3 linked regions of the Struthio camelus genome follow. The main gene of each other region encodes a partner of the protein of the gene in region 3 in a complex. Links are inferred from orthologs where the notes say so. Each region holds a gene or a part of one and is shown on either strand. Other genes may lie near its edges.

Region 1 (7,807 bases), on a different chromosome or scaffold from region 3:
GCAGGGGATGCAAGGGTCAAATCTTACGTATGATTAGCATACTTCCATACTTTCATCCCACAAGCAACAGCCAAAGGATACACCACTGACACTTCTGTTGAGTACTTTTGCTCAATTTTCCAAAATTTGCTATTGATATGCATTTAACAGAAAGCTAATCCAGAATGATAGCTCTTTATTATTAAAGTGGCCCAACTCACTTGATTACTAAGAGCAAAAAACTAAAGCGTGGCTCCTAAGCGACAAATCCTTTTGACCTGTGGTTACAAACAAACACGCTGGCAGAACCCTGGCTTTCACCACAGGAACCACCAGGTAGTCACCTCACACCAGGGGACAGATATATTCAGACAGGATCTCATTCGTCACAACACACAACCACTACTCAGAGGTAGATTCCCAGTTACCCATGTTTATAGTACCAGGCTAAAAGACAAACAAATAGATATGCTCAAATACAAGCAGCAAAAGTGTAACTAGAAGCAGTGTGTTTAAAATAGAGAGTCAAACTCTCCCCGTCTCTGAGAACTGATGGGATTTTTGGCAGCCTAATTAGAAATTAGCACCATAACCACCATTATCCTGCAGTAAACTGTCTCTATCTGAAACAGAAAGCTTCACCACGAAGGGGGAGAGAAAGGGGAAAAAAAAAAATAATCAGAAGTTCGGAAACCGAAATCTTCTGTGGTTAATACACTGTGGTGAGAAATACTTCCTTGTTTTTTACCACAGCAACCAAAACAGAAAAAAGAAAAAAAGATAGAGGTGCCTCAAAACGTTCTGATAACAAAAACATAAAACAAACTTCAGCAGCATTCATTCACTTCAGATCTCACTTACTTCAGAACTTCAGAGTTCAAACACAGATTCTTCCCAACGCTTCATCATCACTCCCCTCTTAAAAAAAAAGTGCCTCTTGCTTTTTTGCAGGCCATCAACAATACAGAACAGCACCACAGCAGAACATTACAAGCTCTGCTGAGTGTAGTCGCCTATATTCATAAGGACACAATAACTTTTTTTAATTTGACAGCATTGAGCCAAGGAGACAACCTGAACCCACCATTTTTTCTGTCAGCATGTGAAAGCTGTAGAGTTTCCAGTAAGTTACTACTGATCCTCAAGTACCTGACAGCCACCTGTAAATATATTTATTCAGTCAACAGTATTCCACGCTTAATCATAATTCAAGAATCAGATTAATTTTTGTTTAAAACAGCCCCCCTACACACGCACATCCAGTAAAGAGAACAATGATTGCCTAATACCAGGGGGTATGTCCAGTACCTTGAAATCACATTTCTCACTATCAGGTTCATCGTACAGCTCTGTTATTCTTCACCTCAAGTTTTAACTGTCACACTAGACAGAGAAGACAGGAAAAAGTTACTACAGCTTCTACAGTGCAGAAACTCCCTCCACACACATTCTTCTCAAAATACTGAGCGTTTGGAGAAAGCTCTCTCTAACATGATCGTTCACGTTTGTGAACGTAAGAATACTACGTAACAGAAACGAGAAACAAGAAAACCCTACAAACGGCAGTTCTGTCAAGGAGAGAGAACATACATTACCTGCAACAACTTAAGACAGGCAATGAGCAATACTGCATACAGTGAAAAGCACCCTGCAAACAGGAAAAAAGGCTTGGTCTTTCTAATCATGTCCTGAAAATGGGAGTGTTAGTTATTCAGTCTTAACCATCCCACATTGATTTTTTTTTTATTTTTTAATCTGATGCTGAATCTTACTTAAGTCTATCTTTTAGGAAAAGAGAAAGGTCTCTAGAGCAACTTGAAGTTAATTTCTGAAGTGAACCAGTTTAGCGAGATTAGATGGGGATCTTCTTAGCCCATATCTGGCCTATGGCTCCAGCCTACTTCAAAACAAGTGCTTCTGTAGGACTGTAGGTTTTAAAGAAGTATCCGAGTCCAAGAGACACCTTTCCCAGCCTACAAGAAGCCTTATAGAAACCAGCACAGCATCTTCAAAGAACACAAATGTGAAGCCCTCAGTTTTCTCTTTCACCTGAAGGACAGTAGTATATCCACAGCCAAGGTATCTTCTCACTCTGAGTTCTAGCAAGGTGAGAAGGAAAGCCATAGCCTTTACTTAATAAATATCTCTATGCCACCATGTCAGTGCTACAGATCTCCAAAGGACTGGGCAGATACAGCCTCGCATTTGTTTTCACAAGGCTCAACCTACTTTTTCACCTGTGCCTTACAGGTTTGCCAGTTCAGTACAGACTACAAATGAATAAACTTATTCCATCAGACCTGCTTCACGTTCCAGTTTGAAATGATGCCACTATTGAGACACAAACCAGGATACATACGTGAGCAGTGATGAATTCCAGTACCCACGAAAACTGTAACTTAAGTCTCATTTGGAAGCTACCTGGGAGTGAACATCACAGCAGATGCTGAAGAAGGATGCACGTTCTTGAAGCCTTAGCTGGTTGCTCTTGTAACAGACCACCTCTCCCTGCAATCCTTTTGTAAACCAGGTATAGCTATCGCTCTGTACAATGGCGGGACACCGCTATGTTTCTACGCCAACTCCTACACCCTCATCACAGCGCAGGGGACCTCCAGCCCGGCAGGTAACGCTCAACGCCTGGCCCGCGCCCCGCCAGGTCTGCCAGAGCGGGCCAGCGGCGGGCTCGGCGCCTCGGGAGCGGCAGGCCAGCCTTCGCCCAGCCGCTCGCCCACGGCCCAGGCGTGGGCCGGCCAGGCCGAGAAGCGCCGGGGCACCGCCGAGGCCCGCGGGCGCGGGCAGCCTCGGACGCGCCTCCCCGAGGCGATTTCCACGTGCGCCCGCTGCGCCGGGACCGCCGCCCGGCCCGGCCCGGCCGCTCTCACCCAGCAGCAGCAGCTTCAGCTCGCGGCGGGCGTCGCGCTTGTCCCTCCGCAGCTGCTTCTCGATCTCGGCGTTGATGCGCTTCGACTCCTTCACCTCGTCGCTCAGGCAACAGGCCATCATGGACTCCAGAGTCATGGTCCCGCCGCCGCCGGGACGCCCCCGCCCGCCCCCCACCCCCCCGCCGCCCACCGCCCTCCTCCGCACGCCGGGGCCCGGCCCGGCCCGGCCCGGCGCGGCCTCGCGGCCCGCTGCCCCCTCCCCACCCTCCCGGCCGCGGCCCGGCCCGGCGCGGCCCCGGCCTCGACCCCCCCGGCCGGGCCTAGCGCCGCCGCCGCCGCCCTCAGCGCGCTGCCCTCGGCCCCGCCGCGCCGCCCGCCCGCCGCTCCCTCCTCTCACACCGCCCCGCCGAGCCAGCGACGAGCGGGCGCAACGCAACCCGCTGCCGCTGAAAACAACCGCTGACTGACGGCCGCGAGGGCCACTGGGGATGCGCGGCGCGGCCGCGGGGCGGGGCCAGGCGCGCCGGGGGCAGGGCCCCGCGGCCAGCCGGAGCGCAAGCTTGGTTGGCCGGTCGGGGGAGGAGGGCGCGCGGCCGCGCGCTTCGGGAGCCGGGGCGTGGCCGCGGGGCATTGTGGGACGGTGGAGGACGCGGGGCGGTGGCGGCGGCGGCGGCGGGCGGGGCCGGGCGGGGCCGGGCCCGGCGGGGGGGCGGTGACCGGCCTGCGGGGCCCAGGGCTCGGCGGCCGCTTCGGGCCGCGGCCCGACCCTTCCCTCGGCCCGGAGGGAGGGAGGAGGCAGGGCCGGGGCGCTGCTCGGCCGCGGGGCCCGGTGCTGCCCCCTCGGCCGGCGGCCGCTCCCGTGAGGGCCCAGCTGCCCCCGCACGGCGAGGGGAGCGTCGTCCTTGGCCTCCTGCCCCGCTTCCCGAAACGAGCCGCAGCCCCGGCCGCAGCCGGCGCCGCCACGTCCACGAGCTGCAGCTCGCGGCCTGGCGAGGGGCGCGTCGGCCTCGGCCGGGCCCTCCGGATCGGCACGTGCTGCGGCACACGGCGCTGGCGAGGGGCGCGTCGGCCTCGGCCGGGCCCTCCGGATCAGCGCATGCCCCGGTACATGGCGCTGGCGAGGGCGCGCGTCGGCCTCGGCCGGACCCTCCGGATCGGCACGTGCCCCGGCACACGGCGCTGGCGAGGGGCGCGTCGGCCTCGGCCGGACCCTCCGGATCGGCACGTGCCCCGGCACACGGCGCTGGCGAGGGGCGCGTCGGCCTCGGCCGGACCCTCCGGATCGGCACGTGCCCCGGCACACGGCGCTGGCGAGGGGCGCGTCGGCCTCGGCCGGACCCTCCGGATCGGCACGTGCCCCGGCACACGGCGCTGGTGAGGGCGCGCGTCGGCCTCGGCCGGACCCTCCGGATCAGCGCGTGCCCCGGTACATGGCGCTGGCGAGGGCGCGCGTCGGCCTCGGCCGGACCCTCCGGATCGGCACGTGCCCCGGCACACGGCGCTGGCGAGGGGCGCGTCGGCCTCGGCCGGACCCTCCGGATCGGCACGTGCCCCGGCACACGGCGCTGGCGAGGGGCGCGTCGGCCTCGGCCGGACCCTCCGGATCGGCACGTGCCCCGGCACACGGCGCTGGTGAGGGCGCGCGTCGGCCTCGGCCGGACCCTCCGGATCAGCGCATGCCCCGGTACATGGCGCTGGCGAGGGGCGCGTCGGCCTCGGCCGGACCCTCCGGATCGGCACATGCCCCGGCACACGGCGCTGGTGAGGGCGCGCGTCGGCCTCGGCCGGACCCTCCGGATCAGCGCATGCCCCGGCACACGGCGCTGGCGAGGGCGCGCGTCGGCCTCGGCCGGACCCTCCGGATCGGCACGTGCTCCGGCACACGGCGCTGGCGAGGGCGCGCGTCGGCCTCGGCCGGACCCTCCGGATCGGCACGTGCTCCGGCACACGGCGCTGGCGAGGGCGCGCGTCGGCCTCGGCCGGACCCTCCGGATCGGCACGTGCTCCGGCACACGGCGCTGGCGAGGGCGCGCGTCGGCCTCGGCCGGACCCTCCGGATCGGCACGTGCTCCGGCACACGGCGCTGGCGAGGGTGCGCGTCGGCCTCGGCCGGACCCTCCGGATCGGCACGTGCTCCGGCACACGGCGCTGGCGAGGGGCGCGTCGGCCTCGGCCGGACCCTCCGGATCGGCACGTGCTCCGGCACACGGCGCTGGCGAGGGCGCGCGTCGGCCTCGGCCGGGCCCTCCGGATCGGCACGTGCCCCGGCACACGGCGCTGGCGAGGGGCGCGTCGGCCTCGGCCGGGCCCTCCGGATCGGCACGTGCCCCGGCACACGGCGCTGGCGAGGGGCGCGTCGGCCTCGGCCGGACCCTCCGGATCGGCACGTGCTCCGGCACACGGCGCTGGCGAGGGTGCGCGTCGGCCTCGGCCGGACCCTCCGGATCGGCACGTGCTCCGGCACACGGCGCTGGCGAGGGGCGCGTCGGCCTCGGCCGGACCCTCCGGATCGGCACGTGCCCCGGCACACGGCGCTGGCGAGGGCGCGCGTCGGCCTCGGCCGGGCCCTCCGGATCGGCACGTGCCCCGGCACACGGCGCTGGCGAGGGGCGCGTCGGCCTCGGCCGGACCCTCCGGATCGGCACGTGCCCCGGCACACGGCGCTGGCGAGGGGCGCGTCGGCCTCGGCCGGACCCTCCGGATCGGCACGTGCCCCGGCACACGGCGCTGGCGAGGGGCGCGTCGGCCTCGGCCGGACCCTCCGGATCGGCACGTGCCCCGGCACACGGCGCTGGCGAGGGGCGCGTCGGCCTCGGCCGGACCCTCCGGATCGGCACGTGCCCCGGCACACGGCGCTGGCGAGGGGCGCGTCGGCCTCGGCCGGACCCTCCGGATCGGCACGTGCCCCGGCACACGGCGCTGGCGAGGGGCGCGTCGGCCTCGGCCGGACCCTCCGGATCGGCACGTGCCCCGGCACACGGCGCTGGCGAGGGGCGCGTCGGCCTCGGCCGGACCCTCCGGATCGGCACGTGCTCCGGCACACGGCGCTGGCGAGGGGCGCGTCGGCCTCGGCCGGACCCTCCGGATCGGCACGTGCTCCGGCACACGGCGCTGGCGAGGGGCGCGTCGGCCTCGGCCGGACCCTCCGGATCGGCACGTGCTCCGGCACACGGCGCTGGCGAGGGTGCGCGTCGGCCTCGGCCGGGCCCTCCGGATCGGCACGTGCCGCGGCACACGGCGCTGGCGAGGGCGCGTCGGCCTCGGCCGGACCCTCCGGATCGGCACGTGCCCCGGCACACGGCGCTGGCGAGGGGCGCGTCGGCCTCGGCCGGGCCCTCCGGATCGGCACGTGCTCCGGCACACGGCGCTGGCGAGGGCGCGTCGGCCTCGGCCGGACCCTCCGGATCGGCACGTGCTCCGGCACACGGCGCTGGCGAGGGCGCGTCGGCCTCGGCCGGACCCTCCGGATCGGCACGTGCTCCGGCACACGGCGCTGGCGAGGGCGCGTCGGCCTCGGCCGGGCCCTCCGGATCGGCACGTGCTCCGGCACACGGCGCTGGCGAGGGCGCGCGTCGGCCTCGGCCGGGCCCTCCGGATCGGCACGTGCTCCGGCACACGGCGCTGGCGAGGGCGCGCGTCGGCCTCGGCCGGGCCCTCCGGATCGGCACGTGCTCCGGCACACGGCGCTGGCGAGGGCGCGTCGGCCTCGGCCGGACCCTCCGGATCGGCACGTGCTCCGGCACACGGCGCTGGCGAGGGCGCGCGTCGGCCTCGGCCGGACCCTCCGGATCGGCACGTGCTCCGGCACACGGCGCTGGCGAGGGCGCGTCGGCCTCGGCCGGGCCCTCCGGATCGGCACGTGCTCCGGCACACGGCGCTGGCGAGGGCGCGCGTCGGCCTCGGCCGGGCCCTCCGGATCGGCACGTGCTCCGGCACACGGCGCTGGCGAGGGCGCGCGTCGGCCTCGGCCGGGCCCTCCGGATCGGCACGTGCTCCGGCACACGGCGCTGGCGAGGGCGCGCGTCGGCCTCGGCCGGGCCCTCCGGATCGGCACGTGCTCCGGCACACGGCGCTGGCGAGGGCGCGCGTCGGCCTCGGCCGGGCCCTCCGGATCGGCACGTGCTCCGGCACACGGCGCTGGCGAGGGGCGCGTCGGCCTCGGCCGGGCCCTCCGGATCGGCACGTGCTCCGGCACACGGCGCTGGCGAGGGGCGCGTCGGCCTCGGCCGGACCCTCCGGATCAGCGCGTGCCCCGGTACATGGCGCTGGCGAGGGCATGTGTCGATGTCGGCCTCGGCCGGACCCTCCGGATCGGCACGTGCTCCGGCACACGGCGCTGGCGAGGGCGCGCGTCGGCCTCGGCCGGACCCTCCGGATCGGCACGTGCTCCGGCACACGGCGCTGGCGAGGGGCGCGTCGGCCTCGGCCGGGCCCTCCGGATCGGCACGTGCTCCGGCACACGGCGCTGGCGAGGGGCGCGTCGGCCTCGGCCGGACCCTCCGGATCAGCGCGTGCCCCGGTACATGGCGCTGGCGAGGGCATGTGTCGATGTCGGCCTCGGCCGGACCCTCCGGATCGGCACGTGCTCCGGCACACGGCGCTGGCGAGGGCATGTGTCGATGTCGGCCGGACCCTCTGCCCCAGCTGCCGGATCAGTGCGTGCTCCGGCACGCTCTGCTCATTCCCAATCTCCTCCCAGGAGGAGCGGGACAGGCAAAGCAAGCCCTCTGCTCGTTCCCTATGGCAAGGTAAACAGATGCTCACTCCACTTTCCAAAGGAGCAACCTCCCTGCCTTCTTCCCTCCCTGCTTGTCTTGGTTTCTCTTGCTCCATCTGCTGTTGTTTCTCTGTCTTGCTCGCAGCTTCCCTACCGCTCCGCAGGTGCCACCGCTGGCATGACGGAGTTCAGGACACCCATTCAGTGTTCCCACATGCCAGGGGCT
Region 2 (5,614 bases), on a different chromosome or scaffold from region 3:
AGTGAACTTAACAGTCGGACACAAGCCGGCAAGGCTGGCGCTGGAGGACTGCAGCTGGACCAAGGGGCTGGTCCAGACTATGGCAGATGGAGGTCAAGCAGATAGGCCCAAAGCAATGCGTGTGAGAGATGAGACCTGCACAGTGCACCCTGCGCAGGGCCGGGGTCCACAGAGCCCTCCTATCTGCAGGTCCTTCAGTGCCTGAGGGGCCACAGAGAGGCTCCAGCTCCAGGACTGCCTGTCCAGCCACCGAGCACCGCCTGCCCAGCCGGCCACCACCGCCCAGAGCCTCGTGCAGCAGCCGCCTGCCCACACTGCCGCCGGCTCAGCACGCGCTGCGCAGCCCCGGAGCTGCAGCAGCCCCCTTGGCCCAGCAACCTAGCACCCCCCCCACCTGCCCCCATGATAGCCCTGGCAGAGAAACACCCTCCTCGTGCCCAGGTGGTTGGACACGTTAGGGCCCCTCATCCTGGGCCCACTGGGGGGGGGGGGGGTCATGTTGAGCAGCGGTCAGGGGCTGCAGACAGGAGTGTGCAGCCTGCGGCTGTGCCTGGGGCAGCAGGAAGGGCCTGGCGCGGTCCCTGGGAGCGAGCTACAAGCACGGCACGAGCTGGGCAGTTGTGCCTGGGACCACCAGCCCTGCCAAGGCAGGACTGCAAAGGCGTTGGGAGCGTCGGCCCGGGCCCTGCTGGGCTCTGCACCAGAGCTGCGGGAAAGGCGGTGCCAGGCTTCACGCCAGCTCCGTGTCGGGGGCCATATGGTGCTGTGCGCTGCCTCGCTGTGGGCAGGATGGTGCCCCACTGCATCTGCACAGCTGTATGTGGGAAACGCGGTGCTACGGCCAGGGTGAACCACTGCCCCAGGCTCTGCAAAAGGTCTGCACTGTGAAAAGACCCCACTTAGAGCCCATCTTAGCACTGGCATTGGAGCTGGTGGCAAAGTGGTTCCCCTTGGCCACAAAGTGCCACGAGGCCAAAGTTCAGGGCTGCAGGGAGGGCCACAGCGTTCAAGGGCCTGCAAGAGCCGTGCAGTGCACCAGCAACCACCCTTGCCTCTTGGCAGCAGTGGCTGGTGCCCAGAGCTGGAACATCCTGCATGCACCAGCAGCACCGTGGGCTCGCGGTGCCTTCGCACTATGAGTCACAGCTATTTGGCTAGTGGTGCTTCCTTGCTGTTTTGGGCTGTCTGCAGAGCTTGGCCCTCAGAGCGCGTGGCAGTTTGACCTCCACACCTGTGAGCGCTGCCAGGGGCACGGTGCCACCTGGCTGGGCCGCACTGGCCTGGGTGGGAGAGCTGCTCGCCGGGTCGCATGTGCCTGACCCGTAGCTGTCCCGTGTTGGGAGGCCCGGTGGCTGAGGTCTGTCATCCCCCAGGAATGGTCCCCACTGCTGCCACCTGCCACGTGCTGAGTCTGGTGCCTCCCCCGGGAGCTGGGCACAGTGCCCCCCCCCCCCCCGGGCCGGGCCCCACAGAGGAGCCCATGGCCGGCACGCTGCAGCCCCAAGCTGCCAGCCCGGGCCGGTGTGGCGGAATGGGATGGGACGGGGCAGGATGGGACGGTGCAGGATGGGACAGGACAGGGTGGGATGGGACGGGGTGGAACGGGATGAGATGGGATGGGACAGGATGGGACGAGGTGGGGTGGGACGGGATGGGGCAGGATGGAGTGGGATGGGACGGGGTGGAACAGGATGAGATGGGATGGGACTGGGTGGGATGGGATGGGACGGGACAGGACAGGATGGAACGAGATGGGATGGGACAAGATGGGATGGGATGGGATGGGGCAGGACGGGGTGGAACAGGATGAGATGGGATGGGACTGGGTGGGATGGGATGAAACGGGATGGGACAGGATGGGACGAGGTGGGACGGGACGGGGTGGGATGGGATGGGGCAGGATGGGGTGGGATGGGATGGGGTGGAACAGGATGAGATGGGATGGGACTGGGTGGGATGGGATGGGATGGGACGGGACAGGACAGGATGGAACGAGATGGGATGGGATGGGATGGGGCAGGACGGGGTGGAACGGGACGAGATGGGATGGGACTGGGTGGGATGGGACGGAACGGGATGGGATGGGATGGGACAGGACAGGACGAGGTGGAATGAGATGGGCTGGAACGAGACAGGACGAGATGGGATGGGATGGGACAGGACAAGATGGGATGGGACGAGGTGGGATGGGATGGGACAGGATGGGATGGGACGGGATGGGACGAGGTGGAATGGGACGGGGTGGGACGGGACGGGATGGGACGGGATGGGGCAGGACGGGATGGGCTGGGATGGGGCAGGAGGGGACGAGATGGGACGAGGTGCGACGGGACGGGATGGGGGCCCCGGGCGCACGGCCCTGGCCGGGCCCGCCCACCCCGCTGCCGCTTCAGCACCGCGGACAGTGGCACCGCGGCGGGTGGGGGTGCGCGGCCGCGCGGCCAACCGGGGGCGGAGGGGGTGCACCGGGGGGCCGGGGGTGCACGAGGGTGGAGATGGGGGTGCACTGGGGGGGGGGGGCGGGAAAGGTGCACGAGGGCGAGGATGGGATGCACCGGGGGAGGGCGAGGATGCACGAGGGTGGAGATGGGGTGCACCGGGGGGTGCACGAGGGTGGAGATGGGGTGCACCGGGGGACAGGGGGGTGGAAGAGGGCGGGGATGGGGTGCACGGGCGAGGGGGGGGCCGGGAAAGGTGCACGAGGGCGAGGATGGGATGCACCGGGGCGGGGGGGCGAGGATGCACCAGGGTGGAGATAGGGTGCACCGGGGGCCGGGAAAGGTGCACGGAGGTGGGGCCGGGATGCACCGGGGGGCCGGGGGGTGCACGAAGGTAGAGATGGGGTGCACCGGGGGCCGGGGGGGGTGCACGGAGGTGGGGATGAGGTGCACCGGGGGCCGGGAGGGGTGCACGGAGGTGGGGCCGGGGTGCTGCGCAGTGAACTAAGGGGTCGGGAGGGGTGCACCGGGGGCAGATGGGGTGCACCGTGAGTGGGGCCGGGGTGCACGGGTGGACGGCTCCGTGTACCGGGGGTGCAGCTGTAGTGAACCGTCGGGCTGTGTCCGCCGCCCGACGGGGGGGTGCGCTCGGTGCAGGGGGCCGGGGCGGCACCCCCGGGAGCTCGGCACCTGCGGGGCCCGCACCCTCCGGGCCAGGCGGCAACGGCAAGGCGGGCGCGGCCGCCGCAGCCTCTGCCGGTGCGCGCAGGGCCGGCCCCGGGGCGCCGCCGTCCCGGGGCCCCTTCCGCGCTCCCCGCCGCCCCCCCCCCCCCGCCCCCGGTCGGCCGGTGCGTGCCCGGCGCTGACGTCAGCCCGAGCTCCCGGCCCTATATCAGCACCGGTCGCGCCGCCGGCTCAGCTCCCGCGGGACCGACCGCGCTCTGCTCCACCTCCAGCGCTCCGGCACGGGACAGGGCACCGCACACCGGGTACGGCACGGTGCACGGGGCTGGGGACGGTGCACGGGGCTGTGGGACGGTGCACGGGGCAGGGAGCGGTGCATGGGGCTGGGGACGCTGCACGGGGCTGTGGGACGGTGCACGGGGCAGGGAGCGGTGCATGGGGCTGGGGACGGTGCACCGGCTGTGGGACGGTGCACGGGGTAGGGAGCGATGCACGGGGCTGGGGACAGCGCCCGGCGCCCCGGCTGCGGAGCAGTGCACGGGGCTGGGGACGCTGCACGGGGCTGTGGGACGGTGCACGGGGCAGGGAGCGATGCATGGGGCTGGGGACGGTGCACCGGCTGTGAGACGGTGAATGGGGCAGGGAGCGATGCATGGGGCTGGGGACGGTGCACCGGCTATGGGACGGTGCACGGGGCAGGGAGCGATGCATGGGGCTGGGGACGGTGCACCGGCTGTGGGACGGTGCACGGGGCAGGGAGCGATGCATGGGGCTGGGGACGGTGCACCGGCTGTGGGACGGTGCACGGGGCAGGGAGCGATGCATGGGGCTGGGGACGGTGCACCGGCTGTGGGACGGTGCACGGAGCTGGGGACGATGCACGGGGCTGCGGGACAGTGCACGGGGCTGCGGGACGGTGCACCGGGCAAGGGAGGGTGCACCGGGCAGGGAGCGATGCATGGGGCTGGGGACGCTGCACCGGCTGTGGGACGGCGCACGGGGCTGGGGACAGTGTACGGGGTAGGGAGGGGTGCACGGGGCCGGGGACGGTGCACCGGGTGCGGGACGAGCCCCCGGGGCGCCGGTCCCCAAGCCTCCGTGTCCCCTCCGGCTCCTGGGTACGGGAGCCTCCCGGGACGCCGAGGCCGCGGGTCCCCCCGGTGCCCGCCACGCGCCCCGTGCTCCGCAGGTGCGGACGGAGCCCAGGATGCGGCGGGCGCTGCTCACCCTCCTGCTGCTGCTCGCCCGCCCGCCGCCGCCCGCCGCCGCCCGCCCCGCGCGCCCCGACGGCGCCGTCCCGGGGGCAGCGGCCGGGGCCGGGGCCGAGGCGCGGGGCCGCCCGGCCTGGCCGCCGCTGCCGCCGCCGCCCCGGGAGCCGTGGCGGGCGCGGCGGGACGAGCCGCCGCTCTCCATCGACCTCACCTTCCACCTCCTGCGGCACCTCCTGCTGCTCGCCCGCGCCCAGAGCCAGCGCGCCCGCGCCGACGACAACCGCCTCATCCTCGACGCCGTGGGCCGCTGAGGGGCCGCCCCGCCGCCGCCGCCGCATCCTCCTCCTCGCCGGGGGCCGCTGAGCGCCGCACCGGCCGCCCCGCCGGCACCGGCACCGGGCTGCGCCCGCTGCAACCGCCCCCTCCCGGCCGCCGGGGCAGGCGGGCGCGGTACCGGCCCCGGGACGGGTCGGCAGGCGCCGCCGGGCCGGCTCCGGTTTTGTAATAAACGTGGTGGAAACCCGCGGCCTGAGCGAGTGCGGGGCGGGGGCTGCGCGGGGCCGGGACCAGCGGGGCCGGCAGCGCCGAGCACACGGGGACCGGCGGAAGGGGGCTGTGCCCGGCCCCGCTGCCGGGGGGGGGATGCTGTGCCCGGGAGGGATTGCACCCCGCCGCCCCGGCGTGACAGGAGGTGGTGGTGGCTGTGGTGGGGGGCAGCGTGATGGGAACAAGAGGGGCTCCCGAGACCGGCCAAGCAGGGCAAGGGCCCCCGAGGTGTGCGTGCCCAGACGCTGGCAGCCGGGGCACCGGCGGGGTGGTCCTGCGCGGGAGGGACTCGGGGTGTGGGGCTCCTCTGCGGGGCAACGGCAGCTGGGCCAGGCCTGGAGGGGAGGGCAGCGAGGCGGGACGGCACGGTGGGAGGGGTGTTACAGAGCACCGACCCAGAGGAGGACATGGATGAAGCCTTCTCGAAGCAGTTGGAGGAAGTATCCTCATGGGGGACCCTGGTCCTCAAGGAGGGGGCTTGAACTTCCCCGGTATCAGCTGGAAGGGTGACATGGCAGGACACAAGCCATCACGGATGTTTTTTTTTGGGAGGGGGGTGTCAGGGGTGACTTCTAGATGCAGGTACTGGATGGGTCAACCTTGGGAGATACACAGTGAGGTCTGCTGGTCACTGACAAGGAAGCGCTGCCCGGGGATGTTACTAGCAGCCTTGGCTGTAGCAGCCATGAAATAGTGGAGTTCAGGCGCCAGAAGGGAGTGAGGAAAGTGCCTAGC
Region 3 (7,643 bases):
CTCTGGAAGTTTAGCATTATTAGCTTGGAGACTTAGATACGGTTGATAAGTACTTAAAACTGGATTCACTCAGCTCTGCAAAAGAGACTTAAAAACCTACCTAAGATCCCTAATACGGAGTCAGTCTGTCCACCTTCCCAAAGAGCCTGCATTATTCGAATGCTGACAATGGGAGTGAAACCTGCATTTTGTGCTGAGTGTAGACAGCCTAGGTCAAGGTTGAGACGAATGCCAGAAACTGAACCCAGACTGTTTGGATGTTTTTATCCAACGATTGTCCAGTATAAAGTGCAAGCACCACTCTGCATCCACCCATGTCTGTGATCACCACATGTTCATCTCTTTCTGATCCCAGGACTTTTTCAGTCCAGGCCCAGCTTCAGAGAAGATACGGAGCATGCTTACTCAGGGTACTCATAGGACAGATGCAGCAACTAGAGTTTAGTCCCCGTAAACTGACTCCTATGATGAACCGAACACCTACGGTGTTCTTCGCAGATCAGTAGTCCAGCAATGTTATCCGTCTCATCGCTTCACTGGGAACATATCCTTGGAAGAGAGCTACAAACTCTGGGTCTTACCTGGATAGAGACATTTGATATTTCCTGATGGTTTCTTCCACTCTTGCTGAAAAATGTCTCATCCCTCTGGGAGATTGTCTAACATTTCAGTGATACAAAGTTGGCATCTTATTCATTCTGATTCCACCCTTTGGATACTTATATCTTGTGGGATGTCCTCATTATTATTATTATGACTTTTTTGGGAATTATTTAGTTATACTGTAGGAACTTCTCAGGGTTCCATACATGGCAAGGCCTTTACTGTGTTAGATGTTACACCAAGAGCTGGCTGTGCCCTCCCTCCAGGGAGAATGTTGTCTGTATGGTTTGGCTGCTGACAGCAGTGGGAATACTTGCAGGCTTGGAGTTGAAGATAAGTCCTTTCAGGACTCAGGCTTTAAGAAGTGAAACCCTCCTAAACAAACAAGGGGAAGTCATCCTTGTATGGGCACAATTGCAAGAAATATCTGAAAGTCATTTAGGCAGGAACTGAACAATTGGATCCATGCCATGATCCCATATGCAGCCTCTCTCCATCAGACTGATCAAAATTGTCACGTTCTTCTCCTGCATTCCTGAGTCTCTCTGTACTGACCTGATGTTTCTTATTCTTTTTCATAAAAGGGCAAGGCTTATATGTCACATCTACATGCACCTGTGTGTGTGTGTATATATCTGTGTCTGCAGATGTCTCTCTGTCTCCATTTTAACTCTTTGACCGATTTCATTCATAAAGCCAGCTATGGTGAATGTTCCTGCAAGTTTTATAGAAAGAGATGGTTGGGAGAAGAGTCCCCAGGAGCGTGCTGATTGAAAGAAAAGCTGCAGCACAAGCTCAGCCCTTAAGTAAAAAAAGGAGATCCGACGGAGAGTGACCTTATAACCAACCCCATCAATGAAAAGCTTTGGCTGGAGTTCACAATCAGCTGTAAGGGAAAAAGCCCTGGAAACGAGGCTGAGGGAATGACTTGTTTAATCCTTAGACAGTCACAATTTAGGGCGGTTTTGTTCTGTTTCAGTGCAGCCTTTACCATTATAAGGCTTTGGTTCTAGATAGTGCAATAAACATAGATAAATGATAACAGAAAGCTGTGGAGCAGCGTGGTGAAAAACCTTTCTGATTTCAGGGCAGCTGACCTATGTCTATGCATGTGCAGCTTCAGGCTTCCTTTGCTGATTCTCGTGCATTCACATAATCCTGTTGCATGTGTGTTTCCAGTCCTGGAGGTGGATATTTAAATACAATAAAAAACTGCTGGATTTATTTCTTCTTTTGCATTTTCATGAAAGCATTCATATTAATTGGAAGCATACAACTTTGGGTTTATGGTTTTGTTTTCTTTTAATAACAAAAGGAAACAAATATTAGTGTGCAACTGACAGGGGAGGAAGAACCAGGCAAGCTTAAATATTTAAATGCATTCAGACCGTTGAATAGCCAAAGGAAAAGAGAAAATAATACTGCTTTTTGAAAACTTTTGCTGGTGTGTTAGGAGGAGTATTCCAGGTTCACTATTGTATGTAACTGCACATCTCCCTACTATGAGATTCACATTGTATTAAGTGACATTATTAAATGGGATTTACAGACTTAAGCCTCTTTGTTGTGAGGATGAGAAGTTGCTGGTTTATACCTTTCTGAGAAAACTTCAAAAAGCAAAATAATTCAACAGCCCTCAAAGAAAGATATCCAGTTATTCTGGCTCTAAGTGAGGCTTGCTAAGCTTATGCAAACCCTGAGGATTTGTTGTGTAAAAGGGACTCTTTCCTCTGTGCCACTATGAACCTCATGCCAATCAATTTTGTTAAAAAATAAATAAAAAATAGAGGATTGGTGGGCAGGGAGTGTCTCAGGGAGGAAACGGCATCACCTCCCTGAAAGAAGACCATTGGCAACAGGTGACCTGGGCAGGCTTTCCCCATTAGAGGTGACAGTATGTGACACTGCTCCCTGCTGAAATCCAGCACGGGGCTGGGAAGGAACAGGTTGTACCTGTTTCTGCTCCAGAATTATAACTGAGGTTCATGCACTGCCTGTGGACGCAGATCAGCTTTTGGGGACAGTCCCAGCTGCAGTTGTGAGCAGATATTGATTGTGATTCACATTGCAGCTGGCTGTCCTCTGGGCAGATGAGACTGAGTGGAGAGGGAAAATCCTGCTAGGCTTAATGCTAATACTGGGCAGCCCAGAGTCTGATGCTGGCAGTCTAACAATACCACAAATGCATCCATTGCATGGACAGACCTATCTGGATGCAGAAGGCAGGGAGTTATTAGTTTTTAGGTACAGGAGTTATGGGCCCCAACTGTGTCTGGTGTCCAAATCCATAAAACTCCTGTTCATTTAGCACCAACAGCCACCCTGAGCAGAGGGGTGAGGAGTCAGAGCAGAGGGCCAGGAGCCCCTAGGGCAAGGGTGTCCGGGTGCGCATGGCATGAGGCTATGGGGTGACCTCGTTTTGCCTTTGCTGGCCTAGGGGTCCAGTCTGATAAGTATTCATGGATGAGAAGAGCAGGACAGAGATCTCTTTATGGAGATCAAATGCACAAGGAACAGCCACGCAGGCTGTTTTTGGCTTGCCTGGCTTGGAGGTTGTTCCCAGCTGAGAGGTGCAGTTGAGGAGTCTCACAAGGCAAACAAGGAGTGCTCTACGCTTAGGACGCTGACTGGAAAGCCTCCCCATTGCAGCTAACGAATAGCAAAGAGTATCCCCGTGCGCCCGCAGATTTGAGGGGAGGTGTTCTGATGAACTTGGTAAAGGATAAGCTAGAGCCCCCTTGCTCTTGGGGTACCCAAGAGGACTTGCTTCTGGTTATCATGGAGAGGCAGGTCCCCATTGCACCTAGGACCGTTGCATCTAGTCCTCAGGGGATCCCCACTATTCCAGGAGACTTGTCAGGTTGTTCTTCTAACAGATAGCACCAGGGAGAATTCCCCCTTTGAGGCAGAGGCTTGTGAGAGGTCCCCAGCGCACCAACACCCTGGGCGGTGAGGGACGCTGTTGATCCTAAGAGTTTCTTGGTGATAGAGTCCCCATTGCACCTAATGCTGGGGAGGGGGAGCGGGATTCTCATTACCCCTGGAGGCTTTTAGGGGTACGTCCATTGCACCTGGTTGTGGGGCAGGGTCCCCGTTGCACCTAGAGCAAGGGGGAATCCCATTGCTCCTGGAGAGTTATGTGTGTGTGTGTGGGGGGGGGGGGTCCCCATTACTTCTGGAGGTTTGCATCGGAGGCATCCCCCGTTTCAACCAACCCTTTGGGGAAGGGAATCGCCACGGCACTTAGCGCTTGGCAGGGGCTGACCCCCGTTGCTGCTGGCGGGTTGGGGGCAGTGGAGTCCCTACTGCAGCTAGTGCCCGTCGGCGGAGGTGGGGCAGAGATCCCTCTTGCACTCAGTGTGTGTGTGTGGGGGGGGGGGTCTCCGGAGAGGGAGCTCTCCCTTGCTCCGGGAGGCTTTGGGGGGGGTCACCGTCCCCGGGGGCTCCTCTAGCCGCCTCCATCCCCGAGGCGTCCCGGGCGGAGGGCGGGTTTGGCTCCCCCGCCCGGCTCCCTCCCTCCCTCCCTCCCGGGGGTTTGCCCTGGGACGCGCCGGCGGCGCCGGGGCTGGCTCCTCCGCGGGCGGGCAGGGGTCAAGGGCAGCGGCCGGGGGGGGGGGGGGGGGAGATGCCAGAGCCGGGGCATTGCGGAGGCTCCGGCTGAGCGGGCAGCTCCAGCCCCGGAGAGACCCCCTGGGCCCCGCCGGCCTCATGGCGGGGCGGGCACCGCAGCGCAGCCTCCCGGCGGCCGCCGCCGCCGCCCTCCTGCTCCTGCCCGTAAGTGCCGAGGCCCGTTGGGGCCGTGGAGGGGGTGGCGCGGAGGGGCGAGGCGGGGGGAGAGGGGAGTCAGGGAAGGAGGGACGAGGACGCCCCACCACTGCGGGGAACCCCCTCGGTCTGGGAGGGAGCGGTGGCTGCGCTCCGCTTCCTCACGGGTCCCGCCCGCCGCTGAGGGACCCCCTGTGCCGGCGGCCGTTAACGGCTCCCTCCGTCTCCAGGCCCTGAGAGACCTCGGCCCGGTGGCCGTTAACGGCTCCCTCGCAGACCCCGCCCCCATCGCCGGCCACTGAGACCCCCTCCCCGTGCCCGTTGCCCACTCCCTCCGTCTCCAGGCACTGGGTGACCCCATCCCGGAGGCTGTTTCCCAACTGCTCCCTCACAATCCCGCACCATCCCTGGGTGCTGAGAGACCCTCTCTTGGCGGCCGTTACCTGCTCCCTCGCAATCCCGCCGGGCGCTGAGAGACCCCGTCCCCGTAGCCGTTAACGGCTCCCTCACCATCCTGCCCCATCGCTGGGCGCTGAGAGACTCCGTCCTGGTGGTTGGTCACCGCTGGGAACGACATGATCCCCTCCGAGCCTCCAGGCTGAGGCATGGCCTCTCTGGGCAGCCCCTTGTCAGGGAAGGAGCTGCTTCCCCTTTCCCCACGCCCTGATTCCCTTGGTGAAAAGGCCCAGCGTGGGGACCCGCCTGGGGTGGCAGCGCCAGCCCCAAAGGCTGTCCCTGCCCCACACGAAAGGGCTTTTCCTGCCACCTCTCCACTTCAGCGGGAGCACGAGTGGCCCAGGTGCTTCCCCTCATCCTCAGCCTCCCACCCACAGCCAACCTCCTTCTCCCCGCCGCGTGCGCTCAGTGTCCCATTACTCTTTCGCCGTAGGGATACGCAAATAAATAGTGGTGGTGAAGGACAGGGCTCAGCCCTTGCATCCAGTGTCGTGTTTGCTCTGCGGCCTGTGTCAGCCTGGGCTTAAAAAATCTTTCCTAGCCCAGGCTCCAAAGTTGGACCAACTTTTTTGGTGGCTTGTTTGTTTTAAGTGATAGTTTTACGCATGTTGAGTGATACTTGCAAAGCAAATGTGAGAGATTAAGCAGGAGATACATTGATCTTGCTTGTAATTCGTTACAGTTGTTGCTGTAGCGTTAAAAAAGGGGGCAGTGGTCCTTCTGGCTTGTAGTGCAATTGGCCCATCTTCAATATCCCCTTAGAAAAAAGGAAGAAAAGCTGTTTTATTGTCACCTGTTCTATCTTGTTTTGTTATCTAACTTTATAAAGAAGGGTAAAGGGAAGCCAGGTCTGGGAAAGCAAGAGGCTCGAAAGGAAAACAACTTCTTGTTAAGAGCTTCGCAGTCACTTTCTAGATCTTGGAAGAGAGAGCATTTTCTCAGCTTCGCTGATGCCTTTTTTACCAGTCAGAGATCAGGGCACATGGGATCAGAGTGGCATGAGCCTGTCTACACACTTGCTGTTTTCAATTGCAAACCTCACTTCTTCTTAGTCTCTGCTTCTGCCCTCTTCAATTCTAGAGTTTTGTTTCCCCTTGTTGCTTTCCCCAGCTCCAGAAAAATAGTTTAGTTTATGTTTTAAACTATGAGAGACTTCTTGCCAGTGAGGCTGACAGAGCCAAAGGTACCCAGAGTTGCCAGACTAATCCTTTTTCAGTGAATCAAATTATGTCGTGCGTTTCCACTCCAGATGCAATTTATGGACAGATTTTCAGTTTTCCGTAACTTTGCATTTGGATTATTTATGTAAATTTTGGTGGTTGGCTTGCTTCTTTAAAGACAAAACAACTTCCTTGAAAGAAAGATTTTGTTTTCAAAGTAGCGCAGATTAAGAATCAAAATGCCATTTCCAGAAAATCCTTTTATTCTGAGAGAAATGTATATTTTGAGTGTATTCTGAGTGTGCTTATGTGGAGGAGTGTGTCTGGATGTAGCACATTTGTGTCTGATACACACTCGTGTGTATGTTTGTGCTGTATGTTGTGATAATGTGCTTGAACACCATCTTCAGCCGTATGTACAGGTCACTCCTGTTGCTCCAGTTATAAGAAATGTGGAGCTTTTACTCTTCTTTTGGGGTTGTTTTCATCCATGAATGTAGCTGGCAAATCTGTATCTCTGCTTTAATTTAGACAAAATTTTGCACCCTGAAGCTTAAGAGCAACCTTTAAAAACGTTGGCTCATATCCAAAGCTCTCAAGTTCAGGTATAACTTGCAAACACTTGAAAGTTAACTTGGAGTCAATGTTGTCTATTCACATTTCTGGATTTGGGAAAAGACATAGCTGCTGCTTGTGGGAGCAAACCCTTATATGATTACATAAAGGAAGCTTGAGTTTTTACAGCAACTGAACAATTGTGTTTTATAGGAACTACAAATTTGCAACACTTAAGAAACGAGGCAACTTTCTAGTACAGAATTAGATCTGCCACATGAAAGTGCTGGTGCAAATGATCTGTCAGATTTCTCAGGGCTGGTCAGCAGAAGGGTGAAGACTTACACAGCGGGCTCTGAGATTTATGTTCTCCAGAGGGTTTCTGTACATATGATACAGTGGAAAATGCATATACTTGAATGTGAAAAACAAACAAACAAACCATAAAACAAAGGCAATTGAGTCCTTTGACATTTTGATATAGAGTCCTTGCTAAGCTCACATATTTGGGGGGAAGGGGAAAGATTTGTCAAAAACAAAAGCAAAGTTTGCTATAATTCCATATGCTCTCCTGAAACTATTAAAATAGCCAGAGCAGTTTGAATATATCAGCCAGTGGTGACGAGTTAAGTAATATTCCTGGTCTGAGACTGCCAAAATTCAGGCCTACTGTGAATTAATGCAGCATAAATGTCTCATCATGAGACGCCTCTGCTGGTGTAACACTTTGGCAGGGTTGAAAACTGTAGCCATCCTGTGGTAATTGCTGTACATTTGAAGGAGACAGTTGTATGCAAGGAAAAAAGGGTGATTGATGTTGATTGGTAGTTTTGCCATGATATTCATAGTGGCTGTCAGCTAGAAAACAAGCAGCCTTCAGCTTTTGTTGGTATAAAGCATCTGCTTATATTTTACTATTCCATCAATAGCTGGGGAGAAATAATGACTAAGTCCTCTAAACTCTGTGGCCCTTGTATAGCAAACTAGACCACAGTTCTTTCTGTCTTACTTCTTGTGTGCCTCCGTTGAAGCTAGGGGAGGAAGATGGTGTGCGGATCTCATTGCAGAGCATGTGCTATCAGCTCCACGTTTGTTCAGTTTTGT

The links.
Region 1: the proteins of CRHR2 (region 3) and GNA11 are in contact, whole or in part, in a cryo-EM structure (PDB 7TRY), measured with the Homo sapiens proteins. The link is inferred for Struthio camelus from reciprocal best matches to the Homo sapiens genes CRHR2 and GNA11. Residues at the interface, in NP_001874.2 of Homo sapiens: Arg148, Tyr208, Leu209, Ala212, Ile213, Thr216, Glu220, Lys293, Lys307, Ala311, Phe358, Tyr359, Phe362, Asn363; in NP_002058.2 of Homo sapiens: Arg37, Ile348, Leu349, Asn352, Leu353, Glu355, Tyr356, Asn357, Leu358.
Region 2: the proteins of CRHR2 (region 3) and UCN are in contact, whole or in part, in a cryo-EM structure (PDB 7TS0), measured with the Homo sapiens proteins. The link is inferred for Struthio camelus from reciprocal best matches to the Homo sapiens genes CRHR2 and UCN. Residues at the interface, in NP_001874.2 of Homo sapiens: Phe68, Asn69, Gly70, Val71, Tyr73, Ile101, Leu102, Asp103, Asp104, Arg107, Asp110, Tyr113, Leu117, Asn120, Trp166, Leu169, Gln170, Val172, Asp173, His174, His177, Glu178, Thr188, Phe191, Asn192, Phe199, Phe256, Gly257, Lys258, Asp265; in NP_003344.1 of Homo sapiens: Asn84, Pro85, Ser86, Leu87, Ser88, Ile89, Asp90, Leu91, Thr92, Phe93, His94, Leu95, Leu96, Arg97, Thr98, Leu99, Leu100, Leu102, Arg104, Thr105, Ser107, Gln108, Arg111, Ala112, Asn115, Phe119.

Annotation. Positions count from the first base shown.
Region 1 is NC_090967.1:7,834,646-7,842,452, reverse strand, and holds the start of GNA11 (guanine nucleotide-binding protein subunit alpha-11), read right to left. Parts: upstream 3,108-7,807; 5' UTR 3,001-3,107; coding exon 2,865-3,000; intron 1-2,864. UniProt on the Homo sapiens protein: Guanine nucleotide-binding proteins (G proteins) function as transducers downstream of G protein-coupled receptors (GPCRs) in numerous signaling cascades.
Region 2 is NC_090944.1:1,024,103-1,029,716, forward strand, and holds UCN (urocortin), read left to right. Parts: upstream 1-4,329; coding exon 4,330-4,644; downstream 4,645-5,614. UniProt on the Homo sapiens protein: Acts in vitro to stimulate the secretion of adrenocorticotropic hormone (ACTH). Binds with high affinity to CRF receptor types 1, 2-alpha, and 2-beta. Plays a role in the establishment of normal hearing thresholds.
Region 3 is NC_090943.1:5,457,875-5,465,517, forward strand, and holds the start of CRHR2 (corticotropin-releasing factor receptor 2), read left to right. Parts: upstream 1-4,226; 5' UTR 4,227-4,311; coding exon 4,312-4,377; intron 4,378-7,643. UniProt on the Homo sapiens protein: G-protein coupled receptor for CRH (corticotropin-releasing factor), UCN (urocortin), UCN2 and UCN3. Has high affinity for UCN.